Drosophila melanogaster: one gene and its partners. The protein of the gene in region 3 interacts with the protein of the main gene of each other region in a pairwise test. Each region holds a gene or a part of one and is shown on either strand. Other genes may lie near its edges.

Region 1 (6,809 bases), on a different chromosome or scaffold from region 3:
ACAATCAGCCCACTTTCTAACTGTTTATGAAGCAACCTCAAGCGATGCAAAACAAAAATACAAGAGGACATAAAAAGAAAGGACCAGAATAACAAAGAAAACCACGCTCCGCATTAAGGGGTGAGTGCAAGAGGGAGACTGCAGTTCTTGTGCTCCCCTTTTGCTCCACTTGTAAATGTGTCAAGTGAGCTTGATTCTCTTCCACTTACATACATGTACGTATGCAGGTGTGCTGTGAATGTAAGAGCGTGAGAGAGTTAATCAGCGGCATTAAAATCGCGTGCAGCCATAAACAAGTCGAGTGTTAGAGAGGAAAGGGGGATCGTCATATTCAATTTAACAGTTAATCAGTAGACAGCGCACAAACAACAATGCGGCATGGAAACAGCAGTGGAAAAACAAATCAATCGAGAGGTGCAGACAATTGGCAACCCAAATATAAATAGTCATTTCCCGATTAAACTGCCTGGTGATGAAAATTAATACAGCAATTTCGCCAAGCCTTCAGTCTGGAATAATAGCCATTATGCCGAGCCTATCAGCTGTCGGCTACAAAATAACAATCGCACAAAGTGTCGCGTCATTATGCAAGCCCCCGGCATTTTGGTCTGGAAGTGGGCGTAAATAGTTTGGGGTGTGGCCAGAGAGCTCCATTACAGAACAGCTGTCAACTGCCTCGCCAAATTCCGCAGTGCTGTGTATGGAAGTACAGTAAACTGTTCAAAAGTCGAACTTTTTTTATACATAGTATGTTTCCATGCTCGATATCCTAGTATTATTATCTTTTATATACAAAACATTCATATCTATGAGAAGCCCATTCAAAACCATGTGTTAGAAAGTAGGCAACAAAAAAGTTACATTATTCTGAAATGCCAACAAACTAATAGTTCAAACTTTTAATAAACTTTAAATGGTCTTTAGTGGTTTGAGATTAAGAGTTTCGACTGCTCAACGAATTTTTTGTGAATTAGAACCATTACCGCGTCGGCCATTCAATGGGCATAATAAATTAGTCAGCTCGGGTACTTTGCCATGCGGTCCGGATCAGGTGACGAGCCTACCTCTATTTAGTTTGTATGTCCAGGGAAAGTGTGTACATACATATACAAAATGGAAACGGACTTGGTTGGAAATTTATGCAGCAACAAGGTCAATCGATAAATGCAGAGCCGAAAGGTACACCCAAAACCCAAGACGAGTTGCCAAGGTAAAACAAAAAATAACGGTAAACGACAGGTGCCGCAGCCGCTGACAGGCTCAGGTAAAGGTACAGGTGTGGTCGGGGCCGTTATTCCCTTGGATTTTCCTTCCTTCTTTGGTTATTTGGTCGCTCGAGGCAACGGCAATTAAAAGCAGTCAACTGTTTACGGCTTTGTTTAGTGGAAGTCGTTGGCCGAAGTAAGCTTTAAATATGCATGAGAACATGTTCAAACATGCACATGCACGCATTGCACGCAATGAATTGTTTATCGTTATCGATAACGTGGCATTGAAATACTTTTTGCGGTCTAGCCGCAGTTTACTTTTTGTTGTTTTTGAGCTGTTTACCACGAACGGAACGATCGCAAACGATCAAAACAACTTGTTATTCTACAATTGCGAAAAAAGTGCCATAGCAACGATAACAAAAACAAGAAACCGCAGAGAGAATTGCATTTACAGCCGTCATTGTTGTTTTTGCCACTTGCAATTGCACGCCCCTCGCTTTTGTTGTTGATTTGTATCTAATTACCGGAGACTCAAAAGTCAAATCATGAATGTTCGGAGAGAAAATTGAGAAAAAAGATACTTCACCTTACATGAAAGCGTATGACACTGCAACAGTAGCTATAAATTGCATCAGAATGTCGGACTGGAACAGTTTAAATATAAGTCTAGCCGATTTAAAAATACCTAAGGCTTACACCAGCGTTAATCAGCTGAGATTTCGGTTATTTTCCACATCAATGATTAAGCATTAATGCAAAAAAGAAAGTATTGAAAACAGGGGGATCAACCAGACGCAAAAAGTACACTTCGTTTTCAAAGTGATAAGCAGCATGCGCCCGTGTTTGGATTTTACCAGACAACATTTCTAGAACCGGGGTCATAAATGCCACACTTGTTATTTGTTTGTCGATAATTTTTGAGGTAGTCTTTCGATGTCTGGACCCAGAACCAGGTCTCCTGGCAATCTTCAAGTATGAAATGGTGCCAGAAAAGATAAGGAGCGATGGTCTCCTGCTGGAAAATCTGGTTCTAGGCGGTTCTTCTAAGCAGTCGAGTGTCGCGAGTTTAATGACAGCTCAACCATAATTGTTTCTATTGTTTATATATTTTGTGATAAGCAGACATTGTCGCATTCATGCAGCACATGTTGTGATCAAAGGTTCACGTTCCCCCAAAGCAATTCTCTCTCAATTGAAACTGATTAAATGAAAATTGAGCGTAATTCGCGGATAAAAATATAAGCCATAGAAGTTAGGGTATTCTGGAAGTCTTCTTGAACTGACCGAAAAACGAAAACGGTTTGGAGTTTGTAACAAAAACGCATTTCTCTCCCACTCGCACACTTGTAATGCTTATCGTTCGATCGCTACACTGAAAAGAAAGCAACTGCGTTTACATTTTGTAAGAATAAATTACAATTATTGATATTTCGATTTGATAATGTATTTAAATGTAAAATTTTAATCTAGTTTCTTGTGGCTTAAATTGTTATGCAAATCAGCTAGTTGGACAAAAATAGTTTCGTCTGGACATAAATTTTTCTTTCCGTGTGGTCGGTAATCATTTTTTCGTTCCGTGTGGTCAGTGTGAAAAGAGAGAACGACAAAAAGAGAGAAACCGCTTTTGTGTGCGTTGAGCGGGTTTTCTTAAAAGGGCGATCGACTGTTTTTGAGTCACTTGTGAAAAATCAGTCATCGCGAGCAGTTCGACTAAGGAAAACCCGCTGGCACACACAAACCGTAACCACTTATCAAACAAAAACAGCTGGCCCGCAACGCGAAGCGCGTGTGCAAAAAGAAACGAGAAAACATACACAACAAAAAAGCACAAGATATAAGAGATACACAAAAAGAGAAGCAGTGGAAAATTTTGGGCACCAAACACAGCCGAAGCTTTTACGCCAAACGTTAAACGAAAAGCCAAAACTTAAACCGCTTCCAAAAAACACAACGTGTTCGCCGGTCGAGATGAGCGGTTCCGTATTGAGTTTGGCGCGTCCTGCAGCAGCCACAAATGGCCATAATCTGCTGACCAAACAGCTGAATTGCAATGGCAATGGCACCACCGGTGGCGCGGCGAAAACCACTGTGGCCTCGGCCATAACACCGCCCAAGCAGCCCCAGTTGGCGGCCAAGGTCATCCAGCAGTCGCAGATCGTCTGTTTCGATGTGGACTCCACGGTGATTTGCGAGGAGGGCATCGACGAACTGGCCGAATATTGTGGCAAGGGGAGCGAGGTGGCTCGCGTTACCAAGGAGGCGATGGGCGGTGCCATGACCTTCCAGGATGCCCTCAAAATTCGCTTGAACATCATACGGCCGACACAGCAGCAAGTGAGGGATTTCATCCAGGAGCGACCCAGTACACTGAGCAAAAACGTGAAGCGTTTCGTCAGCCATTTGAAGGCGGAGGGAAAACAGGTTTACTTGATCTCCGGCGGATTCGATTGCCTAATTGCGCCCGTGGCCAATGAATTGGGTATTCCCCTGAAAAACGTCTATGCCAACAAGATGCTGTTCGATTATTTGGGCGAATACGATAGCTTTGATATCAACCAGCCCACTTCGCGTTCCGGCGGAAAGGCAGAGGCTATCGCCCTGATAAGGAAGGAGAATAGCGACGATTCCCTAATCACCATGATCGGCGATGGAGCCACCGATCTGGAGGCCGTACCGCCAGCCAACTACTTTATAGGTTTCGGTGGCAATGTCGTGCGGCCGGAGGTCTATCGCCGTGCACAGTATTACGTAACGGATTTTGAGCAGCTGATGGGGCAGTGAGATACGTATACGTAAGGCGGTGGGGGAGTGGCGAATTTAGTATTTGAAATCAACGTGTTATAGCTCGTAGTGATGCACATGTTTATGCCCAAGTATGTGTGTAATAATATGTACGTTAGTTCGTAATTAAACAATAATAAAAAGCGATAGTAATAAATGGAAAACGAACAAGTGAAATCAACTTTGTTACTGTTAACTTAACAGAATATGTTAAGCGCGCACTGTTAGTGAATCAGCAGAAGTTGTAAAAATACAGGGTGCGCCCTTATGCTAATGAACAGTTCACGCTTTAGCATCCAACTGTAAGCAATTTATTTAATTTAAAGAAATTTCATGCACATAAAATATGTATAAAAATAAATTTCTGTATTTATATGTTTATGGCGAACAAAAACGAAAAATACAACAAAAGTTTAAATAAAACATTCATTTTTCTATGGAATAGTATGTTAAATACTTTATTTAAATTTTTGATTGTAGGTACCAATTAGGTAAAACCAATTAAAGCCTAAATGTTTTAAATGCAGCCTTGCAGAGCTATTAGCAGTTGCAATAATAGCCCATTAGGTTACAACAACAAAACAAATGCTCTTTTCATGACGAATTTACTTTCGACTTCTGACGTCTTTCGAAACCAGTAAGTCTATAAGCCTATTATATCTACATACCAGAACAAAATGATAACAATAGACCGAAAGGTGAAGGGTCGTGGGAAAATAAATAATTAGTGGGCAGCCGATTCCAGATTTCAACTTTCAAAATTTTGGATAAATGGGTGTGTTTTAACCCATTTAGATATTCTTTATGTATTGAAGCCAAATTAAAAACTAATTCGACTATGAGAGAATTTAGATTGGGCATATGGACATTTGTAGGAAAACTAATACTTTTGTTAAGCATCAAATTTGTTGCTTTACTTGCGATTGAAGACCAGCTGTTTAATTGCCCAAGCTTGAATTCCTTTCGATTTTAACACGAAGGTGCCAGCAATTGGCGGCTCAAAAGGCCGTTAAAAACCAGAAAACAACGCCTCTGCGGCAATTATCAATTGCTGTAATCGACTCCAGCGGAGTTGAAACAGTTGGCAAGCAGAAGCAAAAACAAAGGCAAGGCCGAAGCGTGGGTGCCAGCATTGGGCGGTAAACCATGAATGGAACGGGCGGTTTGGCGGTCAACGTCATCGTGTTTAATTGGCGGCGGGAAACGCTTTGAGCCAGCTTAAATGTGGACCATATTAGGCGTGATTCGACTGCCGTTTGAACGGTATAGGGGCGTGAATTAAGGTTGCATTCGAACGCAGAACGGGAAAAAAGCAGCCGCCGATGATATCACCATCCTAATGAACTGGGCTTAAAAGGCGTCTGTTATGCCCTGCAGCCCAAGTGAATCTGAATCACTCAATTTGGGTGATTTGGGTGACAGTAAGGATTCTATAAAGGAGGCCTTCTGAGGCCTTCCCAATTCTCATTGTACGTTATTTTATTTAAATAGTTCAAAGTGCAATTTATTACTTAAAGAAGTAATTTATCCAGTAAATGTTTCACTGTGGATGCTAATTAAATAACGTAGATTTTGGAAAAAAGCCACATTTAAGGGAAGTGCAGACATAACAGAAATTCTACTCTATAATACAATCATGGATGCCATGCAAATGAGGCGCTTGTTGGCTATTTCTGCGTGGCCGCTGGTGTCTTTGTCTATTGGTCATGACTTCAGAGCGCGTCGCATGACGTAAAGATGTTTTATTTATGTGCCCACTGAGCCACAAGGCAGCGGCACGAAAGCGGTGGGCAGCGGAATGGAAATGGGTATGAAAAACTGGCATAAACGTAAACAGAAAGCTTGACGAAGTAGACTTACCGCAACGCTTGGAACGGTTAAACACAACAGCCTCGGGGGGATTGGGCTTGGAAATCGAAATATCTCACGGATTCGCGTTCCAGTTTCCAGTGGCACGGCGAATGCACTATTCCGGCTTTTCCGCTGCAATTTTCGGATGCTTACGGATGCTGCGCGTTGCGATTCGGTCGTAACTATGTATCTCACTCACACACGCGTCGGCGGGGCGGGGGGTTTGTCTTGCTTTATTGATTTTGAATTTTGTCTCAAATTGAACCCAACAAAAAAAACGCCGTTAAAAACTGGTGAGCCTTTCGTATTTCTGTATTTTCCACACACCTGGTAATTCGCCGCGGTTTGTTGCTTTGTTTGTTTGTGTATGTATACGCGCCGCTTTGGGAATCGGAGTAAAGAACCGGATGATTTGTGGCCGTAGCCGTGACGTGTGGATATTGCGCGAAAGTCGGTTAGTAACTGAACATCGTTTGCGGCGAGCACAAATTTTTGGGGGTGAAGTTTTCTTTGGAGCCAGGCGAAGCTTTGGCTTGCCACATAGAGATGGCATGCAGCTAACCGGTCAATCGATTGGTTAGGGATGGGAGTCTTAAAGAGTGCCAGTTCCAATATTTTCAAGATATCGAAATTTGAGTAACGTAATCCAAGCAACTAGCATTTTCAGTTACATTTTTATATCTTCTTTTGCATTATTGAAATGATAAGCTCGTTAGAACCCCCTTTCAGCTCCACCACTGAGCAACTATCGATATGCCTGCTAGCTGCGGTTACACTTCCAGCGCTGCAGTGCGGCCACACTTTCGCGAATACGGTCCCACCTTGAGTAATATCCGAATTACTAATAACAAAGGCTTGCAGCCTACAGCTGCGGAAAAAGGACCAGCAAGAAGCCAAATCGCTGCCAAGCGCCCACAGCCACCGCACAAATGCCTAAGAATGGCGATGCCGGCAACCGGAGCGGTT
Region 2 (10,519 bases), on a different chromosome or scaffold from region 3:
GAGCAATAAATTTTTACTCTCTCAACGTAACGGTTCTTTTTGTTTTTGGGCACTTGCTGCAAAAGTGCGCGAAATTAGGCGGTAACAAACATAGCACTGACCACGTATTTGCTGAATAATATTAATAGAAGTGATTGCTTTGGGTTTTTTTTTCCACACATTTTATAAAAAGGAATTGAATTGAAGGTTTTAATTGAATTTTTTCCAAACGAAGGCCCAAAATTCTCAAGTCATGGGTCGCATAAAGCATTGTACCGTCGAAAAAAGAAATTTGATTAAAAACATGATCTCTGAAGGTAAAACCTACGCTGAAATTGGACGCATTGTCGGTTGTTCAAACAAGAAAGAAAGCCCTCAATGTCCAACGTTGAGATCAAGCCCTTGGTTCGACAAAGCCTTTTAAGCCGGCGACGGAACTGAAGAAGGAGCTTAATCACAAGTAATAAGACTGGACTGGACGTATAGGACACACCATTTTAATTGAAAATTTGAATAGAGAAAATTTAATAGAGAGTTTGAATTTTGGTTATTTCCATAATTTCGATATTATCGCATAAGTTAAAAAGCCGTTGAGCCCATTAGTATCGATTGTTCTATCGTTTTACCGTATATTTGGGCGGTCTGTCAGCGGTCACACTTAAAAATATCCCCGGCAAAAAAAAACACAAATTGTGTTTTTAATACTTTTGATATTCTAGCGTAAATAATTGTTACGCGCTCTGATGTCCACCACAATTAACGCCATAACGTTAGTCCTGGTCTAGAGGTTGAAAAGAATCCTGAAACCAAAGAACCTGAAGATCAGTTAGTAACCGAAGGAATTGCAATGGGTTCCAACGGCGAAGAATTATTGAATTTCGCAATGAACTCAGACAGCGTAAATACCATAAATTCAACAGCGGACGTCGCAGAAATTGTCTTAGACACTAATTTAGAGTTCAACAAGACGATTCCTTTTCATCTGCCTCAGGAGTCGGACGTGGAAATGGTCTCTGTCAGATCAGCTGCCGAACCTGATCCTAACAAATCAGATTCCAAAGCAAGTAATAAATCAGATTCCAAATTAGATGGTAAATCGATATTAGAGTCAGGAACCAAACCTCAGGCGGCCCCGGGGGAGGTTTTCGCTAGGAAGGCATGCCTCAAGAGGACCAACGAATATCCTGCTCCGCTGAATCATACTCTCAAGAAACTGAACTGGAAGTTTAACCTGCGTATATTGATCTCAAATCTGTACATGAAGAGCGAGGATCGTCTTCCGGGAGCTTGTGTTTCCAGGTGTCTTTACAATACTAGTCTGTGCACGCAAAGACATCGGTGCTCCGCGCTTCCGGATGGCCCAAACTTTGCGGCCGTTCAGGCGCTACGAACCACGTTGCACGGCCAGCACTACGATACATTCCTGGACATTCTGGAGATGATGGTGTTGCAGGGTGTCTACCCAGGCGAAGGAGTCTTTGACAGACTAATAGATATGGCCATGGTTGATTGCTTATTTCTCTGGTGTCACATTGTAATAATATCATGAATTCCTTATGCAGATCCTAATTGCCAAAGAGATAAGCGTAAAGGAGCTTGGCGACATCTACAACAAACTTATACGCACCTTTTTTCTTTTGGTCGACGCCTTTCCCCCGTGCTGGACAGCCCTGCGTCCTTACTACTTGAGTTTTCTGGGCGTCTCGCATCCCCCCTTGCGAGAAACACGTTCAACCAATTCTACCCAGAAGTTGCAGTTTTACATCGATCTTTTTGAGGAAAATCTAACGCATTGCAGCGATGAAGAGATACGTGAAAACACCAAATTCTATGAAAAGTTTGTGTTTAACTTCTCGGAAGAGGAGGATGCGAATATGTCCCAGGAAACGGTCTTTCTGCGACATGTACAGCAGTATGACTGGCAGAGTGGGAAGCTTTGTCTGGACGACTTCAAGAGAATGTCGCCCGCAGTCCGCTTGGCACGGCTCTGCGATGTCCTGAACATGCTCACATGTGTACTGGAAATAGAGTTCCTCTCCTGGCTGGATCATAACAGGTTGAGGCAGTCGGAGTCGGAGCTGTTTCAGGAAAACTCCAGGTCATTTGCCTCGATCGTATTTGAAATGTCAGCAGGAACGCGTCTCAGCGACATCGTTAAACAAATTATGAGTCTGTATGGACAGGTAGTGGCCAAGTCCATGTACCCAGAACGCCAGAGGATTCTCCAGGTAGGTTTGTAATGTTTTTGGGTTGTATGCTTTATGTAACTCTTTCAGTACTATTAGCGCCTTGTTTCCCTAATTGTCGAAGTAAGCAACACGGCAGAGCTAAAGTACGAGGATAATGCTGTGATATATCCTAGTATGGGACCCCAAACCCATCTGCTCATCGAAGACTTCTTCAAGATTTTTAAATCGCACAATCGCAAAAAGGTTCGCACCTACCTAATGGCTATTCGGCAGTTGGACCCCCCATATCTCCGCTTCGAGTTCACAGACCACTTTTTGAAGCTCTTTTTCTTTCCCAAAAAAACTCATTTTGGACCGGAAAAGGTGGTCGGAGAATTTAGAGCGCGTCAATGGGTAAAGTACAATCTTAAAAGTGAGATTGAGGATGACGATGACGAGCAGTTGTCGCGTGAGGATTACCTAGCATTACTCCTTAGCGCCTTAAAAGACTATGACAAGTGGTTAAATCTTGGAGGCTTTTGGAAGTACCTAATGAGTAAGGAGCTCGTGCAGCCGTTGACTGCGAGGATCAGTCCTGTGGGAAGAGTTGTGCGCGAGGCGCCGAAGGTGTTCAGGCTCGATGCGTTGGAGGAGGAGGTACACACCTGGAAGGAGCGCATGAGCACCAAAGTAATTACAGGTCGGGAAAAGGTGAACCTGCCGGTGGCCAGTATCAATATGGCCAAGATGTGTGTGCGCTATGGCGAGGATGTGAGACAAATGAGAGTTTTGCGACAACTCCTTCAAAACGAAGTTTACAAGGAGGTCGATGTGTCGGACTGGTTAACCTATCTGAACAACTTTCTGAGCTATGAAGAGTCCATGTCTCCAGTAGACTCTGCGTCTTCCTCCTTATTGGGAGGCATATGAGGGCCCAAATACGAAAATATATCTAAGGCTCCATTAAATTTAAGGAATTTCATACCGAAAGTTCAAACTTAATTATTTTAAGCCCGTTAATTAGTATTTATCTAAATGGTTTCAAATAAGAATGCATTTGATTCGTTACCGTTTGTCATAAATTCCGTTTCTGTATTTCTCCATTGCAAATATATATTTATGCTGTAACTAAATACACAATTACGTACACATTTACATATAAATACAGCTACTGCGCATGTACATACATACATTAATAAATATATATGTGTATAATTACATAATATTATCGCGATTTGTTTTTAAGCCTTTTGCTTGTTGGTTTTTTTGCAGTTCCTCATCCTTCTGCCATCTCGATTTGCCTAACGTGTCTTGTCTTTGTTCATTGTATGTCTAAATTCTTTGCAGTTTACATTTTACACACTCAACTATCATTAAAGTAGGCGCTTAAATGCTAATCTCACTACGTCATTTTTATATTAAGTATATGCATACGCTGGGGAGGGTTAGAAAAGCTGGGTGCAGAGCTCAGATGTTACAAAGAGCAGAATCCGATCTGCATCAAATATTAAGCATTCATTTTAGAGCGACCTTTCAAATTCTCTAGGGATCTTAGATCCTGGCGAGGATCTGCATTCAGGGCCTTGAAAAACATAGCACGGATTCAAGCGTTGCTCTTATCATTGCTCTACTAGGTTGGGATTTCGGTTTTTTGTTTCTGCTGTCTTGTCTTTAATTTGTTTAACACTACACATTTATCAACATTTATTTAATATTCATTCCATATAGGCTAGGTTTCTTTGAATGTGTCTCCACTTCCCGGCTTGCAATTGATTCGTATACATTTGGGGACATCCGTGTTTGTTGCGCTTTGAATTCTATAGGAACTTGATACAGGAGTCTTTTCGGTTTGACCCTTGCTGCAGTTTTTAAAGGTATTTAAAGGCGACCGGCGTTTGAAACAAAGGACAGTCGGGATGTGAGGAAACCAAGGGTAACATACATAAATTAAAGGGCTAACATAAAAAGTCACATGTTGTATTTTTAGAAAATATTATTTTCTCTTTTAAAAAGGTTTTCGTTTACAATTTAGTTAAACTCTTTCGCTTTCGCTTTATACATACAAATTGGAGTTGGGCTTTGTACAGAACTTGTTGCTTTACTATCTCATAATCGTAATTAGTTATGAATTAATTAGCGTTACTTTGTGTTTACTTCATTAACTAATATTTAAACGAAGGCTAGCGTGACAGCTTTTGTGTTTCCAAATTATGCCAATGCTGAAATTAAAACTACTAAGACTAATCAATTAAAATTAACAAAACGCTGATTTAAAAACTATGGCTCTCTAGGGACTAAGAGCTAATTAGATAGTTTCGACCACTTAACACTATTAGAATATTTTTCTTTGCCGTTTTCTGTTCAGGATATTTTTTTAAGTTTTGCTGACAAGTTTACGAAGTTAAATAATTAAGCTATTGATTTTATAAACAAATTGTATTTGTGTTAGCCCAGACTAAAACACGCCCTTGCAAGATGGCGAAAAACGTCACCAACTTTGAGTTGTACAACAATTTTTCTTAAGCTTTAAATGCTAAATTAAACAACTTAAAAGTGAGTCGGGTCAACAATTTACAATCTGAAACGGGTTGCACTTTGGGAAATATTTTAATTAAGTTCTTCGTACACGTAATGCTTTTTGCCTTTTGGGTTTAGTTTGCTCTTGCTATTAGCAAACTATTTTCACTCTAGTTAGGGTTAGGTTATTTTATAAGTGAGTAGAGAGGGGTTTAATCTATTTCCGGGGCTGAGAGGGTTGTGAATGTGAGATGGGGTGCGCTGCTATAGAGACAACTCTCTGCAAAGGTCTTTCATCTGGTTTTTAGTTTAGCTTTACTATTATTTTAGTATTTTTGTTTCTGTTTTTGTTTACGGTTTGTGTTATTTTTTTGGGAGCTCTGGGTGCTGGTGTCGGCGCCTTTCGTTTACCTACTTTTGAAGCGTTTGCTATACAATCATCTTGGTAAGTTCTTAGTCACACATTTAAACCTTAACAACAACAACAATGTTCGCTACAATTAAACAACTAACAACAACGTAAGCGTACACACCAAACATGGCTCACTTCTGGCTCGATCGCTGCTCCTCTTTCTGCTCCTGAATTTCCACTACATCCGCATCCACTTCCGACTCATGCTCCTGTTCATCCTCTTCATCCGCATTCTCCTCCTTGAGCATGTACTCGAGGAGCAGCTCATCGACTCATCCCTCGCGTTGCGTTTCCGCCGTCGCTGACGTCGTGGCTGTGCCACCATTCGATGGTGACTCCACCTTGATCACTCCAAGCTGCTGCAGTTCCTCTCGTGTGTGCTGGATGCGACCCACCACAACACCGCCCATGGTCACAAAGCTCCCGTCCGCCGTCACAGCGCCCAATTGCATAGCGCTGGATAAGTCCCCTAGAGCGGCCACATTAAAATGATGGTGCGGCGAGCCATCCTGAATGTGCTGATGCTGCTGGTGATGTTGGGCCACTGTCGTGGCGGAGGGCAACGTGGTTATGGTGACTCCACGCTGATCGATATGCTGCTGCTGCTGCTGGGACGGAGGCGGCGGGTGGTGCTGATGCTGCTGCTGTTGATGGTGGTGCTGGTGTTGCTGCTGCTGATGGTGGTGCGCCGCCAACGGCATTCGTCCTAGTCACCCCTCATCCTCCTCTGTTTTGATCTTAACAGGAACGTAGACTTTGTCCATGACGTGTATTTTTATGTGGTTGTTGAGCGTGCTGGACTGTCGGAACTGCTTCTTGCAGATGACACACTCAAAAGGCTTTTCACCTAAAGAATAAGACACAAATCAGTTTCGGTCAAAATTGTATGGTAGCACACTTCATCACTCACCCGTGTGGATCTTCACATGGTTGGCCAGCGTGCTCAGTTGTCGAAAATGCTTGGGACAAAAGTTGCAGTTATAAGGCTTCTCGCCCGTATGGATCTTCAGATGGTTCGTCAGCGTCGACGATTGACGGAAGGTCTTATCACAAACGTTGCATTTGTAGGGCTTCTCGCCAGTATGGATCTTTACATGGTTGGTCAGTGTGCTTAGCTGTCGAAAGCGACGATCGCAGACGGTGCAGTGGAAAGGTTTCTCCGGCTCGCGGACAGCTCCCCCTACGCCAACGGCAGCGTTGCCCTCTCCGGGATGCTCGCTATGTCCATTGGCCAGGTAATGCTCACTGTGGATCGTTGTCGGACTATGCGTGGTCAGGTGCGTCAGATGTGAAGTTGGTGGCGGCGGTTGCTGTTGTTCCGCCGCAGCAGCTTGGGCTGCTGCAGCTTGGGCAGCTGCCATAGCCGCTGCTTGGGCGGCACTATGCGCCTCCGCCGAGATCCCGCTTAAGTGCATCTGGAAGGGCAAGGGGAGTTCCGTGGGTGGCGGCGGCACAGAGGGTGGTCCGCTCGACTGCTGTTGCTGCTGCTGATGATGTTGCTGCTGCTGTTGCTGTTGTTGTTGCTGCTGCTGTTGAACCGCCGCCATGTGAGCCGGATGCGTGGCCTGGGTGACCGTCTCATTGTTATTATTGTTTGCTATGGTGGTTTGGGGCTGGGCGGCCACTATGACAATGTCGCAGTTACTGCTCATCGCCGTAGCAGCGGCATGGGCATGGGGCAGGCTTTTGATATGCATCATGGACTGCTCTTGCTGGGATTAGGTAGTCTGGATTCGGGATTCGAAGCTGGATTTGAATCTGGTGGAATAGTGGAGGGAGACTGCGGTACCTCGGTGACTTGAACAGAAAGCTGGCTAACAAACTAAGATCGATGCTTCAAAAATGCCACGACATGCTCATCTTGGGCGCTTCTCTGATGTTGTTGCTGCTAGTGCCTGTGTTTGGAGAAGGGAGATTGGGATTAGTTGAGTCGGCGGCTTGGCTTTTTGGTATGCAAAAATATGTGAGGAATTCCCAAAACATACGAAATACCTAACTGCGAAATTATAAATCTAAATTATTCAATAGCTGACACACTTTGATAGCTGGGCTCCCGGCTCCAGCTCCACTTCCTCCCCTTGAAGCCCCCTTTCCATATGGTTCCTATGGTTCTTTGTGTGCCCTTATTAGTGAAACGCATTGAAGCCCATTTTGTGTCCTAACTAGCATATTACTCCTTCGTCTCCTTTAGGCAAGCCTCTCTACATAAATAAGTATTTGGAACTACACGGCTTACATATCCATACATGTTTGTAAGGAGGTAACTGGCTTACTTTACGGTGTGAAACTATGTTTTAAATCATTCAGGTATAATGATTAACGTATTAAGCGTTCAAAGCAATATTCTTGCGAGAGTAAATATTTTCGGGCTTTATAACATTTATTAAAGAGCCATACTAATATTAAACTCACAAACAAACTGTGATGAGTAATTTTTAAATAAGATCCATAACGGATGACCGAATCCTTAAAAGATTTTTATGACTTCGATGGTATGAAAACTTCGAATATACGTCAAAGAGCATAAATTATTAAACATACGATTGATTATGCATTTTGAAACAAAATAAAACGCGCGCTGCTTGCATGCATGTAACTTTTAATATATTTTTTGAACGCTGGTTTTTACGTTCGCCGGACAAGTTACCTGACCCGCCCCCTGCTCACCCACCAGACAAGATAGACACTGAGGCCAACACAACACGCACACACATGGAGCACTCAGGTATCTCTCTTTTTGTGTTGAATTGACAGCGTGTTACTTTCTCGCCAAATTACATGTGTTTTTCTGGCAACTTAAGAACTTAGTGATAACTTTACCAATTGGATAACAATCTCAACGGAGGCGAGATCGACAGGATTCCGAACTGACCTTTTTTGGGCGGGCTTTTTGGGGGATATTTTCCCCTTTTTTCAAAAGCAGTTTTTCCACTAACACGTTGCCTCTAGATCGCCCCTCGCGCTCCCTTCTTCAGCTAAAAGTCACAACCACTTTCAGTCGCACACACGTATGGACATCACTAGCGCACACACGTACACGTACTGTGTAAAAGCTCTTTTGAGGTTAGGATACTTTTAATTTTGGAGCTCTCCGCTCGAAAATGTCCATTGTTTTTCACACGTCTATAAACGCTATTTTTGCCAAATGATTCCAGACGGAATTGGGTATACTGAGTGACACACTTGAACTCTTTTCGGGCGCCCACACATTGACCTACCTTTCCATTTTGTGGCTGTGCTGTGTGGGGCCTTTCAGGTTTAGATTTCCCCCGTTTTACATCATTTTTCGCACTCGATTCGGTTTTTTGGGGGATATGGGCCTTTCGGAGGGTGTTCGCGTATTGCTCTCGCCTATCAGAATCGGGTCCTCACAGCATTATCTGTGGCTGGTTCTTCATTTATAAAAAGCGTATAAACGTTAGAAAAATAGTACAAATATTTCTTTTCTTTTTTTTACTGTTTCGCGTACAAAATAGACGCGAATGAACTAGTGCCAATTGGGGATGGGCGATAGCTATGGGGGACCTGTTACTGATCACGAGTGTGAAGGAATCACGATGACTGCCCCGAACTCAATGGGAAAGTTGGTATAAGAGATCAAATTTGGGAAAATTCTCAGATTTATTTAGGCCAGCACATCTTTATAATTATTTTTTTTCCCACCATATTAATATAAAATCATTTTCTAATGTGACTTCTCGTGAATATCGAATTGCCATCTCTATGCTAAATGAGCTAGTTCCACTGAAGTCATTCACATAGGAATATGTAAGTTTTCTTTCGTTTTTGAGAGGTTTTCCTCCCGCCACAGTACGGTCACACTGCCCGGTGCAGAACTTTTGTATAGGAATTTCGTTTGCATTATTTTTTATTAAATTGTACTTAAAGACCAAATGCAATTGCTCAGAAAAGTGCAGGTGCAAGTTTTATAAAATCGTGCAGACCCGCGAAGCCTGCGACTGATCACCATGTGCCTGCCCATTGGTTAAACTCAGCTCGCTGTTAACTTTGTTTGTGTTTTTGTTGTGACTTCCAGCCGGCGGACGCAGTTCATCTATTTGGAAGGTAAGCAGAATTTAGGTAAGTATATACTGAAGGACTATACTGAAAGGTACCTTCGATCCTGACCGCTTTTTCGTTACGGCACGAGAGCCTGTCCATCACCTGCTTCACGAATCCCTTAGCATCTTCCTCCTTCTGCTGGGCCACAGCTTGAATATGGGAATTTGCCCTCAGTTGCATGGCCCGAATGTCATCCTGCATCGCCTTCTTACTGCGCTCCACCACTGCATCTAGAGGGTCTTCAAAGGTAGTGCTTGGCTCGAAGATGTTGCCATTACCATTGCCATGTCCTGCAGAATTGTGGTTTGAGTTTACAGAGGCCGTTGTTCGTTCATCCTCCTCGTTGGAACCCAACGTTGTGGTGGTCTTTGGTGCCCCCTCTTTGAAGGACAAGTCATCCTCGCCGCGAGGTGTGGAACATGGCGTGGTCTGTGGATCAGCCTCCCTCGCCGCTTTTATCTGAAACAATGAGGAGATGTTTTCCTTGGCGCCCAGTACTTCAGTAGAGATCTTGCTGGTCACCGAATCCATAGCCCTGCCCATCGAATCTTTTGTTTCCGAGGCTGCTTTGACCGCATTACTGCCCGCCTGCTCCACTGCATGCATTGCACTACTTCCTACTTGTTCCACTGCGTGCATTGCATCGCTGGCCAACCGATGGGCACCTTTACCCGCCGCTCCTACTGCTCCTCCCACGGTATCCACGGCTCCTCGAGCTCCAGTAGCCATTCGCTCGCCTACAGCTTCCATGGCATCACGAGCTCCATTTGCTGCATTTTTTACCGCTGTTTGAATCGAGTTACGAGTGGAGTCCATGACATCTATCGCGTCTTCGCCGACTTTGGACACCGCCTCCTCAGAGCTCGTCACAATTTTGTCAACTTGCTCCTCACCACGCTGCATTTTTTGCTCTCCATCTGATTCCAGATCCTCCACGGAGCTCTCCAGTGGTGTATCTGGCATTTGTTCCTCTACCCTGGACGTCACATCCACTCCGTCGTTTATGAACCGTATTTCGTTGATCACTTTGCTGCTGTCCGTTGAGTCCTTCGTTGTGGTTATTTCCACGGCCAGGTGCTCATCGTCTTCCGTGGGCGGTGTTGGTGTGTTCACGTGAATTTTGGCCGTAGGTACTTCCTCCACTGTGTCCAGACTAGAGACCAGTTCGGGAGAAGTCCTCTCCAGATGGTCATGGTCCATGGCAGACTCGTATGAAAAGTTTCGTATAGGCGTCTTTTTTATTGTCTGCGGTGTGCTAGAATTACTGCTCTCGGGATAAGGCGTGCGTGGGCGTAAAAGTGTTTCCTGGCTGCCAGGCACTTTCGGCTTGGGATCAACTAATTCCATATCGTGTGCGGATTTATTCGACCTTAAAGATTCT
Region 3 (6,440 bases):
CGAGCGGGAGTACATCAATTGCGACAAGTATCTGGAGCAGATATTCAGTTGCCAGCGGATGAAGTTTGCCGAGATACCGCAACGCCTCAATCCGCTGCTGCATCCGCCCGATCCGATTGTGATCAATCATTTCATTGAGAGCGGTGCAGAGAACAAGCAGACTGCCTGCTACGACATCGATGTGGAGGTGGATGATACGCTCAAAAACCAGATGAACAGCTTCCTGATGAGCACTGCGAGCCAACAGGAGATCCAGGGGCTGGACACCAAGATCCACGAGACGGTGGACACGATCAACCAGATGAAGACGAACAGGGAGTTCTTCCTAAGCTTCGCCAAGGATCCACAAATGTTTATTCATCGCTGGATCATCAGTGAGACGAGGGATTTGAAGGTTAGTTCTTTTTTTTTCTTTTTTGCCTCATACCGTTGTCTAAACCTTTCGTCCTTTCAGCTGATGACCGATGTAGCTGGCAATCCGGAGGAGGAGCGTCGGGCGGAGTTCTATTACCAGCCATGGACGCACGAGGCCGTTTCGCGCTACTTCTTCACCAAGGTCAACCAGAAGCGGGCCGAATTGGAGCAGGCGCTGGGCATACGCAACGGCTAGGTGAATGATGAGCTGATCATCTCCACCAGCCAATTCGTGGAGTCCACCGTCAAGAGACCTCCATAAACCGTGCGCACGGCAAACTCTTTTTCCTTCGCCAGTTTAGTTTAAGCTTAAAATATTTCCTTTTTTTCCGACAAGCCGAACTCCATCCCGTTCCAAAACGAAAATCCCCTTTGCAGTTGTCCCAAATACCCACATCCAGCACAAATATTGGACTTAACTGTAAGCTAATAAAATGGCATACAAATATAAAACTGTCTATAAAATTTGATTCGGTTCACTTTTAGAAACACTAAAGTTTAATTTTTATTACGAGTGATTTCAGTTGACTTTATATATATTTAGCCTTTTGATACTTTTGGGTTCCCTTTAAATTTTAGAAAATGCATTTGTTGGTTAATTGAGATTTTAGAATCACTTGTAGCCTTACGATCCTATACGATTTCATGTTAACTGATTGTTTCTAAAATACGTTTTGATCTACATTTGGATATATTATTGTAGGGTTTTAGCTGACCAATCTAACAATGTGAAAGGCCAGCGTTTGAGTCATCTCACAATATTTCATAATTTATACTTTAAAATTATGTGTTTTAGTAAGTTCCATAGTTCTGCAATCCTTTGATGCTGTTGATTTAAAATTGTATAAAACGCATTTTCAGTTGATGCTTCTTAACTTAACGATTTACGCACAAGCTTTAAACGGTTTAGACTACAACACAGGATTAATATCACTAGTAAACTAAAGACGGACTCGGATTACTACGTCTCGGGCTAGACCTCAAGCTATAGGCGGAATGTGCAACCTTTACTCCTTTTGCTGATATAGGATCAATTTCGCTTCTTGCGATTGGCAGCAATGGAAGCGGATGAGCTGTTGCCCGTATCCGGGGTCTCGCTAATGGACAGACCCGTGTCCAGCCGACTCTTGTCAACCGGATACAGCCAGCGCTGATACAGATAGATAATAAACACAATATCATCGCGCAGGCAGGCCACCCGATGGGCCGTGGGCATGGTGATGATGAAGGCGAAGAAGTCGTCGATGAAGGTATTAAATGCTTTATACATAAATGCGCGCCACGGCAATGCGGCCACAGACTTCAGCTTGTAGTTTACAAACAGTTGCGGCAACATGAACAGGAAACCGAAGGCGTAAACTCCGTTCACCAGTGAGTTAAGTGTCCATGAGTACCAGGAGCGGTGTGGTTGGTAGAGGAGCGAATAGACCGCTCCGCATATACAAAGCGGATACAGCAGATAGCTCAGATATCGCATGCCCTGTCTGTCAAACTGATCAGTCTTCTGCTCCTCCGCCAGCTGACCTGACTTCACGCCAGCTTGGTCACCATTCCGCCGGTCAACTTGCTCCAGCTTGCGACGAACCAGGCCACTGAAGCTAAGCTCCAGACGGAAGATTTTCTTGCACTTCCACAGCTCAATGAGCGTGCCCAGGCCAACTGGCACAAGTACCAGATACGACGTATTCTCATCTAGCAGATAAAAAAAGATCACGATCTGCGAAAACGCTCGCCACATTGTGGTGCGGCTTGATAGCCCCTCGTACGACTGCTTTTTGCGCCAAAAGGCCACGTCGTTCTTAAAGCTTAAAAAGTCGAAGAGCATCTGCGGGAAAAGGGAAACATAAATTAGTTATAGGACTGGAGCATATGACGTATGTTGCAATTTTTCAATCTCTACTCACATGGATGCTGGACACAAAGATGGTGCCACACAAAAGGTATACATTGGTGTCCGAAAAGATGCCTTTCACCTCGTCAATATCCTTGGTAGCAAATCCAATGGTGAGCAGCGCCTGGGTGGCGTGTTCCATGAGCAGCATTAGACGGAGCTTGCCCACGCCCACGGGCTTGTAGTGGAAGCTGAATGTGAATTCGGTGGTATTGCGGGTGACGGGCACTAGATCCTTTAGCCGCGTATTAAATGTATCAGTCTGCAGGATGGGCAAGATCTGTTGATTGCGATTGACACGTATCAAGGGGGCCATTTCAGGTGGGACATCCGCTTGCGAAACGGAATAGAGATCGTTGAGCAGGGTGACGTAAACATTCGATCGGATGTGGGTGCTGGGACGTCCAGTGGTGGAGGCTTTCTTCTTTTCTTTCTCCTGGACAGCGGCTGCTGCACCTTTCTCGGAATCTCCAAGCAGTTTAAAGGCCTCCGCCCGCGGCACTATGTAATCCGTGAGACTCATCGTATGGACAACGGTGGGCCCATCTCTGCGCAGGCTACGCCATTCCAGTGGCTCACCCTCCAAGGCCAAGACCACATGAAGATACAGGGAGCCATTCCGGCGCGTCCTCAGCGGCACATCCACTTCGAAGTCGTGCTCAAAGTTTTGATCATAGTCGAACCTCTTGGCCTTGTACAGATCCCGCACCTCGGTGGCAATGGGACTTCTGCTGAGGGAGGAAAACAATGCCAGTTGCAGGCGTGGCCTGTCCGCCAGGAATGATGTGTAGCACGGCACACCGCTGCATTGCAGCGTAGTGAAGAGCTGCGACATCTGGTAGATGGAGTGGCCGATGTACGCCAGAAATGCAACGCCTAGAAGCGTGGAGATCGAGGGCAGGGCCATGTCCTCCTCTTACGGTTTTCTCGTTGGTGCGTTGGCCGGCGTTTTATTGGTATTGGCACTAGAGCCGGCAAAACATTAAAAGAAGCTATCGATAGTTCCGGCAGTATCGATGATCTAAAGCTTCAAAAACTATCGGTTTTTATTGTCCCTAACGGTCGTTCCTAGCACGTGTTTCCAAACTATCATTCCCATCCCAACGTGATACATGTCAAAAAATTAAATTTAACTAAAAGCAATGGATTCCAGGATGTGCCGTGTCTGTTTGAGGGAGATGGAGAACATGCTATGCATCTTCGAAACGATGCCGCTACCCGGCGTTTCCCTAGCGACCATGATTTCCGATTGGTGCGGCTTCCCGGTTCTACCGAAGGATCCTTTTCCCAAGACCATTTGCCAGTCTTGTGCGCTGGATGCGCAGACTGCTTACGGGATGGACAGCGTGCAGGTGATTGAGCAGGATGAGATGGTGGTCAGTGAGATGAATTATGAGGAAGAAGGATCGAATGACTCCGATGTTGAACTGATTGAGCCAGTCGATGGCAGCCAGGAGATGGAGACAATTGACTTGACAATCGATTCACCGGGGGACAACGTGGAGAATATGTGCCCCAACTCAAACTCCAACGGGAATGGCAATGTGAGCCAGAGCAGCGCCCAGAAGGATACCAAGAAGAAAATGCTGAAGAAGACACATAAATGTAACATTTGCGGGAAGTATTTCATGTTACCTGCGCACCTTAAGTGTCACATGTGGGTCCATGCGCGTGAAAAACCTTACAAATGCTTACAATGCTCCCAGTCCTACGCACAAATCCGCGGTCTTAGGCGCCATGAGCGCGTACATAGTTCGAGACCTGAATTACGATCCTACAAGTGTTCCCGATGCCCCAAGATCTTCAACAGAAACTCTGCCCTTAAGAACCACGAGACCATGCACCATAATTAATGCGATCCTACAAGTGTCCCCGATGCCCCAAGATCTTCAACAGAAACTCTGCCCTTAAGAACCACAAGACCATGCACCATAATTAATGCGATCCTACAAGTGTCCCCGATGCCCCAAGATCTTCAACAGAAACTCTGCCCTTAAGAACCACAAGACCATGCACCATAATTAATGCGATCCTACAAGTGTCCCCGATGCCCCAAGATCTTCAACAGAAACTCAGCCCTTAAGAACCACGAGACCATGCACCATAATTAATGCGATCCTACAAGTGTCCCCGATGCCCCAAGATCTTCAACAGAAACTCTGCCCTTAAGAACCACAAGACCATGCACCATAATTAATGCGATCCTACAAGTGTCCCCGATGCCCCAAGATCTTCAACAGAAACTCTGCCCTTAAGAACCACAAGACCATGCACCATAATTAATGCGATCCTACAAGTGTCCCCGATGCCCCAAGATCTTCAACAGAAACTCTGCCCTTAAGAACCACAAGACCATGCACACCATAATTAATGCCAAACCAAGAAGAACGACCATGATGTTAAAAGACTAATGCAACGTGTTACCAAAGTATAGGGAACTTCGAAAAGCGAACACCTCCAAAGAACCTCACAACGATTATACTCATTTTTTGTCAATCCGATATATGATCGTTGGAATAAATACTAAACGCTGGGACACTGTATTTGGTAGCAGTTTTTATTTAAAGGTTTATGTATAACAATATACAGCATATAGTATATACAACATGATTTCATAAAATTAGGTACTAGAGTTTTATATAATTATAACTATGAAGTACTATGTATAACTCTCTCTCTTCGTCACGCGCGAAATTTCCAAACCTTTGGAATAAATTAAAGGACTAAAATGTACACATCATGAAACAAAAATATGATAAAAATAGGTTGAATTGATTTGCACGCTTCAAGTTGCACGTCATGTTTTCCTCGATTTTGATTTGTTTGTTTGTTTTTTTTTTTTAACTTTTATAACTGGAACACATTGTGAGTGAAAAATGTGGTGCAGAGTAATAAGTACATGTATAGATAACGATCCGAAAGAGTCGAGGGTGCAGATGAGTCGATGCTATAAATATGTGGGCATTGTTTGATAGACAAGAAATAGATAACATGACAAAATGGAGGGTATAAATAATCGGAAATGGTCGGATCTCGGCTCAGGACTTAGGCGAGGCGTTTCTTTCGACTAGGCGAGAGGATCTTCAGCATTGTGACGACGGGCGCCTCGAAGGACATCGACACCACGAAGGACAGGAAGTAGGAGGCCACCGTCAGACCGAAGAACATGACAACCTGGAATAAGCAATAAATAAGTTATGATAAACCCTTTTCGTTGTATAACCAATTTAATAGATTTTGTTTTCTTAGACAGCGATTCTACAGCGACTTCATCTTCCAACTCACCATCAGATCCCCGCCCAGGTGAAGCGGCGCGTCCGAATTGAGCGCCATGGAGCGGATGACTATCGGGTGGACCAAGTAGGCGCAGTAGGTGACGCGGGAGAAAGGATAGAGGCAGGGCGCCGAGAGCAGCGAGTTGATGTAGCCGCCGTAGCCCGTGGAGCAGGCGATGGTGATCCAGGCCAGTGACAGCGCCCAGGCCGAATGGCTGAGCGAACTGTAGGCGGCGGCGGTGAACTGTGACAGGTCGGCCTTGTACAGCCCGAAGACCAGGACGAACAGATTGAGCATGGCCAGGGTCCAGGCGGTTGCCACCGTCAGCTTGGGCAGTCGGATCTTGCAGTTGGTCCTGAATAGAATCCAGCCCACGGCCATGCCGATCAGATAGGGACCCAGGCGGGTCCATGGCTTGTCGTAGATCTTGTCGAACAGAGCCAGCGGATCGTCCGTGTTCGGTCGATGATTGTTGGTGAACGCAATCACCGCCGTGGTGATCCACGACAGCACCAGGAACACCAGTGTCGTGATCGCCGACAGCTTAAAGTGACGCACGCCCACGATCAGGATGATGGCACCGATCATATAGAACTGCGTGTCATTCGCCAAATACCAACTCCAGAGCATGCACTGCGGATTTAGAGAAATGAGGAGGAATTTTATATTATACTTGTGACGTTCGTAAATTGTTATTCAAAAACAGAAGCCCAACAGTTCTCAAATGCATGAGTGTGTATGGGTGATTACAAGTCCCTTTGTCTTTTGAGCACCAATTTATACTTAAGGCTAACAGCTATGTTGAATAACACTCACCATCTCATCGACAGGAAACAGGGTGTTGATGTAGAGAATGTTG
Region 4 (7,545 bases), on a different chromosome or scaffold from region 3:
ATGGCATGGCTGCTGTGGATGGCTGCTGTGCTTTTTATGCCCGCCATTTCGCCGCTGTCTCTTGGCCTCTTCTTGCTACAAATCATGATAATAAATTCCAATTTTATTTAGTCAGTGAGGCGGCAAAGCACCCTTGTCATCGTCATCGCCAACCAAAAAGAGGAGGTTGCGATGGGAAGGGAAGTGAAGGGAATTGAAGCTCCCTTCAGCCAAATAAAGGCAGCCGAACCGCTTCATCTGCTCGGCAAAAAAAGGGTCTGTGTTTCAACTACTTGGATCAACGGTTCAGCTCAGTTTTATGACTTTTTATTTTATACACATCCAGCGCCCAGCTCCCGTCATCCCGCATTCAACTTTCCGGCTTCCAGCGCCAGTTAAATAAATACACTCCCAAATTGACTTGGCCTGCTTAACTTTTGGGCGGGCATAATCAGGCCTGATTATAATGAATAGTTGGATGGAGGCGGCTAAATCAGCAAACAGCAAAACCAGAGGCGACACTCGGGCGGCCAGCTCATCAGTCAGCCAGACGGACATTGCAGTTTGGAGTGGACCGCATAGCCCCACCTTCTTCCACCTCCATCTGCCTAGCCATGAATCCAGCATTCTGCCTCCTGCATCCTTCATCATGGAAAATGCAGCAGCAGCGCCAGCCAAAACACATTAGCCGTGTGCTAAAAATGGCGCACAGCCCAGTTGGCCAACGCACATATCCTTCGAGGGGAGTGCTTCCAAAATTTCCGATACATATACAGACAGTATTTTATATTTTCAAATGGAACCATCTCTGAATGTCTATTTGGATGTGGTAAAACGTGATACCACAACATTAAGTTGGCTCAAATAAGTAGGTAGGCATTAAACTTGGCCCGAAACACTGTTTGCATTCAATGATGTAATCTTTCCCTAATTGAACATTTTACGAGTGACCCTCGTTGGTAGTGAGCGACCAGGCGGAGAGTCCTTTTTTCTGTTGGAGCTGAGCTGGCAGGACATGTGGCAGTTGGCAGTTTGCTGCGCTTTCCCCGCACACCACGCCCTTTCCGCCTGCTGCTTTTGGCTGTGGCTCTTCATTGCCTGTTGGCAATTACAACGTTGCAATGTTGATGGCATTTTCTTCCTTTTATATGCATATGTAAGCGCACACACACACACATACACACACTCACATTCGAGGCAGGACATAACGATGCTCGCAGACAGTGAGCAGCTTACAAGGACGTCCAGAGGGGGTGGGCAGTGGGCTGAAAGGGAGGGCCAGTGGCTAGTCACTTCCGCCTTGCCCGAAGAGGACGTTCATTTTTTCATAATACTCTTTCACTCTGCGAGTTCGTTGAGTCCTTGATTGCATTGGCCTTTGTGCTCGGCAAGCTAATTACACGGCATGAAGAAAGGGCCATTTAAAACTAAATGGGCAGATTAAAGTGTAAAGGATTTTGCATTAGCCATTGTCGTCGCTCAAATAATGAGACAAATGGGCCATATCATTCGATCAAGATGTGACTCAATAGATTCATTTTTAATTCGCATATGCCGCGGTATTCCCTGACTTCAGAGACACCATCTTCCCCCCGCGAACTCAGCTGTTAATGTAAATATGTCTTACAGCATTATCGCATTCGGTTAAGAGGGTAAACTTCACCCGACAGATTTCACTTGCAACATTATCCGTAGCCGTAGGAATATATACATCCATCTGGGGGTTGATTTCCGTTTTTTGGGTGGTTGCAAATGGATACCATTTATCCTGTGTACAAACAGTTTTTGTTTTACCTAAGCTATTGCTATTGCCGTTGCTGTTGCTATTGCTATTGCTTCATTATAAAATCGATGGGGGACGATGTGTAAACTACCCTTTGAGGACGAAACTGGGGGTAATCAGATTGTTCATCAAAGGATCCTGCCCCTGCCTGCTGCTCAAAGCGCTTGATTCAATGACCGAGTGAAGCTTTTCGAATTGAATTTTACGGGAGCGGGCTGTTGAGCGTCTATGTCTCCATCGTTCCTGTGCACTCGTTGTCAACGGATTGGTGTTAATGTCCTTTGGCATTGTTGCACTGCCAGGACGACCACGACGACCAGAAGACCGGAATACCAGAAGAGCAGAAGACCGGACGACCAGGGCCACAAGTCGACTGTGTGCAAAATAGACTGAAATTGATGATGTCACTTGATAGGGCGAATGGGTTTTTCATTTTTCACTTTTTCACTCCGTACCGCTGCCCAATCTTCGAGCTCCTGCAGATCCTTCGTGTTCGTGTTGTTTAACAAATTCATCCTGTTGCTTGCGCTCCAGTGCGTGATGCCCGGCAGATTGCGGGCCGAGTGAGAGTGTGTGCGAAATGTGCATTTGATGCAGACACTCCCTCGTGCAGAGAAACAAAATTCGGGAACCCGAAATTGGGCGAAATTTGGGAGTCCCACAGAGGATCTCCTGAAACCAGAATGGAGTATCTGCCTTACTTGTTAACATAGCTTAGAGATGCTATGCTGAACTTAAGGAGTCCCCATTTACTTGGACTACCAGCCTTATCAATTATTTCAATCACACTTTGAAGATATAATTTCTCACAGTGCAATGGCATAATTGAACATCTCTTTTTCTGGTGCTTTCGGAATAGAAGGAGCACGCAGCCATTGTTGTGCATCGACCTTTTTGATTGGCTTTTCTTTTGCACGTTTTTAATTAGTGGGAATTTGGGGATATCGGACGAAAGTGGGTAAACTGTAGAGCCACAGTGTGTGGGGCGGAGTGGAATGTTGTCCTTTGGCGCATTAAACAAACGAAATATTTCATAAGCGCATTGCGTTCTGGCCACAATGCCGAATGATTTATATGCAAAGTGGCATAAGCATTCTGAGTGTGCGAATGTGTGTGTGTAGCCTGGCCCTATTTTCCCAGGCCATCCCATCGCATTTTCCATTTTACCTAGGCCAAACCAAACAAACCGGGGGCAATCGAGCGAACTTCACTCCGCAGCTTTTGCTACAAATTTTCCAAAATTTATAACAAAGGCCCCACACACACACACACGCGTCTATAATTGTGGGGTAACGGGACAGACGGGCGGGTTCTGGAGGACCCCTGGGTATTGGCTACCTTACGGTTGAGTGGCTCCTGGCTCATGGCTCGTGGCACTTTGGCGCCAGGACTCCGGCTACGAGGTCTTCGCCTCGCAATGGATGACAATGTAGTCAGGAGACTGTAAAATTTATGCACTTTTAGGATTGTTTGCAATGCGCTCGAGAAGGGGATTGTTCCATTATGCGATAAGCACTGGGACGCTCCCAAGGTGTTCCACTGTACAACAAAAGGACCGGCTTCTCGAAACATTCCAGCTGCACTGGGTCAGACTAGAAATTAATTATCCACTTATTCGTTCGCTCAAGAACCTAAAAAGGGGAAGATGCTGGTAGCTGCTCCTTAACCCTTTCTGGTTCACTTTGTCAAGGAAACGGAGTATTTCTTCCAACATATTCCCCCTTTTAAATCGAATACTTTCCAGCTAAGAGCATCGCAAAATCAATGCTAGAGTATGCTTTGATTATTCCACTTCAAGTCAATTGAATCCACTGAATGCAGCAGCTTCGCGAGCAAGGATTTGATGCGCATCCCGCCGAATCTCCGTATCTTTTGTGCGGATATAGCCATTGAAATGCCCCTGCCCTTCGCCACTCACCTTGTTGGAATTGCCATTGAATTTAAGCAGCTTCTTGCAGGACTTGCCGCGACTCTCGAAGTAGATTTCCTGCGGCGTCCGGCGGCGTCGCTGTCCGGAAACGGCAGCAGGTGTGGCGACTCCCTTGCGCTGCAACTGCAGCTGGGAGAAGGGATCGCTGCCCGCCACCGATTGCGTGGCCTTGTGGCGACTCACGCAGAGGAGGCGGCCCAAGATGCCGCAGCAGCCGCTGGGCGGCGCCTCACTTCCGGCGGCCGGAGTCCTGGTGGCTCCAACTCCGGCTCCGGCTTCGGCTGCATTGTTGTTGGAGCAGCGGGCGGATATGGTCATTAGGTTGCCATGGCGGCCGGTCGGGCGATTGACGTCCATTTCCATGTTGGCTAGCAGCGGAATCGTTGCCTACAGGGCGGCGTCGACTTCCTTTGTTGATTTCGCTCGATTTCCAGTGTTTGTTTACAATTTTTGATTGCGGTTTCCCTGACCGCAGGCTGTGTCCTTGTGTCCTTTCCGCCTTTCTTGCTTTTTTGTCAATGTTTTTGCTTTGTTGTTGTTTACTGGTGGTTAAAGTCTCACCGAAAAGTTGGCGCCCTCTCACAGACACACACACGCGCACTCACAAAACACGTCGCTTCCACACCAGCAAAGGAAATGCGAAAACTTCGCAGGACCTTCCAGCGCGTCGAAGTTCACAGCACAAAGTCAGCGAGCCAACTGATAAAAGCCGTGGCTTCTGGTTCGTAAATGTGTGCTTTGCAGGGTTGCCAGCTTTTCGAAAGAGAGCGGCAGGACTCTAGTACGAAGGATAAGCATAAGCATCGAGCCGAGCAAGAGAGAGAGAGAGAGGGAGAGAGAGGAGAGAGAGGAGTGCGCAGAAACACGAATCACCTTGTGTGCATGAATGAAGCACAGTTATTACGGCCTTTTTTGTGGCCCATAGTTTCGTAGTTCTTGCTGTTTACGTTTCCCAGGGTCAAAGTTGTACAGCCCCCCGCTTTATGTTTGTAATTGTTTGAGGCGCCCCACGTTAGGCTGTGAATTTTTCGGTCGCGACGGGGGAATACTCGAGTGTAATGGGTACCAAGGAGGCATTTCTGCGTATTAATTATGGTAATTTTCATCTTTGAATCTACAATACCTACTACCTTTTGTTGTTTTATTAGAAAGTATGCACCATCGATAGGGCTAGAAGATGATTGGGTGCGAACAAAACAGAAATCTATTAAGTTTTCTTTCGCCCGTAGACTATGTATTTAATCCTGGTAAATAAACTGGTTAAAAAGTTTACACTTAAGTTGATACAATTGCCAATTAATATCGCTGATCAGTACCATTCATATATCGGAATCCCCTGCCGTAGGTATTAAAAAGTTCGTAGAGCTGGCAAAAACATTTAATTTCGGTCAACACGGACGGGAAAGAAGAAGAGGCGGCGGGTGACCGTGTGACTGTGTGTGTATGTGTTCGTGTGCGGCGAGTGTGTGGTGGTAGTGCCTATGACTATGAGTGCTTTCGGCTCTAGACGTAATTTCAATGTTTCAACGTAATCTTTGATTTGATTATGCTGTTGAGCTGCCCTCCCAGGGGGCGGGTCGTGAGTGTTTGCCAGTTTGTCTGTTTGTTTGTTTGCTTGCTTTCAGTCTGGACCACTTCCGGGCGGAGCTATAAACGGATTATAAAGTAATTTAATGCTTTGTGTTGCCGAGGATGCCGGGGAGCCGCCTCGTATGCGGATGTGCGCATTTATATTTCTGGTGAGAACGCATTTGGGCAATAAAAACTTTTAATGTTTGTTGTTTGTCTCTCAATTTATTTAGCACGCGTCACGCATACGCCCCGTTGCCTGCTCCTTTAATGAGTTCGCAGCTTTGCGGAGCAGTCGACTTGGCCAAAAGGCCAGAACGGTTTGGTTTTGGTTTTGGTCTCGGGCCCGTAATTAATGTACGCCTCGTCATCTGTGGACCACCGTTCGCCACTCGGCCTGATCATTTCGGCAACATGTTTATCTGGCCCAATGCCCATATATTAATGTCCGCACACACGCATTCCGTTAGATTGTCACATTAATTATGTACGTTAAGCTGTCAACGTGCGCAATATTTTTGTATCCGCAAAGCCCTCTTCTTCTTGCCCTAAATATCCGGCTCGACTTTCGTGTTTTCGTGTGCGTCCTTGGCCATTCCCACTCCTTGCCAACTTTTCTTGCTTTCATCTCGGCCGATAAGAGCATCCTGGTTTATCTTTATGTCCGTGTCCTGCCGCCGCCTTGTTTCTGCTCATGCTATTCCTGCTGTTTGCCAAATAAATACGTTTGATAATGCGACCCGACCATCATATTGATGAGCCTTCCGCTTGCTTGGCGCCAAATGGAATGAAGTGCCAAACACAAGTTCAACAAGCAAATAGATCAAGGGGTCAGATACTAGCTTGCAGATGCCTAACTGCAGGTGAAATAGCGAGCTTAAAGAAGTATTTAACGAACATTTAATGTACGGAATGGAATAAGATCTATCTTCTTTGTGGGAAACAAAGTATATTTAAATGCAGCACACTTTTCAGAGCCTATATGAACAGCATATTGGTCGAAACCCTTTGCACCAGACATACTAATTTCCATTTAAATATGAAATCCTTCAAATGGCAGACCATTGAATTCTTCCCGTTTGCAGAACTATCAAACGAAATATTCGCCTGGAATGGCCGTAGAAAAAATACCATATCCAATTAAATAATTTTTCGTATGCGAGTTTCCACTCATAATTTAATAAATATCCCTCTTCGGAAATGCTGCAAATAAAAAAGCAGCTCAAAGGCCGTTATGGCCTTACATTCGGTCTCAATTACGCACCAATTTCTGTCCCTCTGCGTGAATGTGAATTCTGTGTGTGCCGAATGCTGCTAGCCATGAAAACTCTGCAACTGTGGCCGAAAATGAAAAGTTCCATTGCATTTGGCAAACTAAAAGAGAAGTAAAAAAGAAATGTACTCTCGTATAGAACAGTTGCCTAATTGCAAAAATGCTGCCGGCCAAACACAGAACCGAAAAAACTTTTTTTGGCCAAATGGAATGGAATGGGTAGCTATAGCTGTAGCTATAGCTTTAGCTGTAGCCCCTGGCTACTGGCTCTCCTGCCCCCCAAAAAGTGGAAACTACGCTAAAAGCTTAAACAAAACCTCAATAAAGCCGTGGGGCGGGGAAGTGGTAGCTGGTAGCTGGTAACTATTGAGGCGGCAAATGGCAAACGGAAAAGTTTGCGACGCATGCGCAAATGGAACAGGATGCGATGGCAGGACTCCAGGACATCTGGCTGGCAGGACGAGTGATGCAAGTGCAGCGACAACGACAACGGCATGTAAATGACGCTTTTATGCTGCAATCACGTTTCTTGTGCTCCCTTTTTGGTACCGCTTTTATGGTTTTTTGTTTCATATGCAGTGAAATTTTATGATTATTGCCAAGCGACAAAAAGTTGTTCCGCTAACTTTTACAGGCGTGTGAATGGGGTGGAGTATGTCCTGCCAGTGGGCCCCATTCCCATTCCCATCCCCATCCCCAGCCACATCCACTTTCCCATACGCGTCTTTTTAAGTGTCGTGCTCCGATGCCTTCATCAGCCACGCCCACCTGCGGTACGTCCGCCCCCTTTGGTTGCATCGCTCTGCACTAAGTAGATGAAAATGAAAATGACGACATCGCCACGTCCGGAGTGCATGAAATTTATGCAAATGCACGGAATTTGTATGAAAATTGTTTTATTCCATCGCATCATTCCCGCTCACACACACTAGCAATCATAAAGCACGCTCGTGCCGTTGTCTTGTGCTTAAGCCAGAAATTACTCATACCACATGTTGTCCGATGTCCCAT

Evidence for each region.
Region 1: the proteins of CG4318 (region 3) and aay interact in a two-hybrid assay, tested with the Drosophila melanogaster proteins (one large-scale study listed by BioGRID).
Region 2: the proteins of CG4318 (region 3) and Aef1 interact in a two-hybrid assay, tested with the Drosophila melanogaster proteins (one large-scale study listed by BioGRID).
Region 4: the proteins of CG4318 (region 3) and CG30419 interact in a two-hybrid assay, tested with the Drosophila melanogaster proteins (one large-scale study listed by BioGRID).

Annotation. Positions count from the first base shown.
Region 1 is NT_037436.4:9,420,371-9,427,179, forward strand, and holds aay (astray), read left to right. Parts: upstream 1-2,882; 5' UTR 2,883-3,179; coding exon 3,180-3,992; 3' UTR 3,993-4,411; downstream 4,412-6,809. Other genes in the region: Shc (SHC-adaptor protein), read left to right, coding at 6,773-6,809. UniProt on the Drosophila melanogaster protein: Catalyzes the last step in the biosynthesis of serine from carbohydrates. The reaction mechanism proceeds via the formation of a phosphoryl-enzyme intermediates.
Region 2 is NT_037436.4:21,431,477-21,441,995, reverse strand, and holds Aef1 (adult enhancer factor 1), read right to left. Parts: upstream 8,569-10,519; 5' UTR 8,295-8,568; intron 8,124-8,294; exon of another isoform or gene 7,949-8,123; intron 6,972-7,948; 5' UTR 6,777-6,971; coding exon 5,987-6,776; intron 5,924-5,986; coding exon 5,787-5,923; coding exon of another isoform or gene 5,349-5,786; 3' UTR 3,357-5,348; downstream 1-3,356. Other genes in the region: CG5664 (uncharacterized protein), read left to right, coding at 827-1,483, 1,542-2,207, 2,265-3,077; CG33288 (uncharacterized protein), read right to left, coding at 9,003-9,130, 9,192-10,519. UniProt on the Drosophila melanogaster protein: Transcriptional repressor that binds specifically to fat body-specific enhancers, namely the adult ADH enhancer (AAE) and the enhancer that controls yolk protein gene expression.
Region 3 is NC_004354.4:13,151,868-13,158,307, reverse strand, and holds CG4318 (uncharacterized protein), read left to right. Parts: upstream 1-3,383; 5' UTR 3,384-3,447; coding exon 3,448-4,158; 3' UTR 4,159-4,847; downstream 4,848-6,440. Other genes in the region: Bap60 (brahma associated protein 60kD), read left to right, coding at 1-394, 455-610; CG4332 (uncharacterized protein), read right to left, coding at 1,445-2,239, 2,319-3,212; CG32645 (uncharacterized protein), read right to left, coding at 5,351-5,479, 5,591-6,214, 6,398-6,440.
Region 4 is NT_033778.4:24,225,399-24,232,943, forward strand, and holds the start of CG30419 (uncharacterized protein), read right to left. Parts: upstream 4,398-7,545; 5' UTR 4,056-4,397; coding exon 3,681-4,055; intron 1-3,680.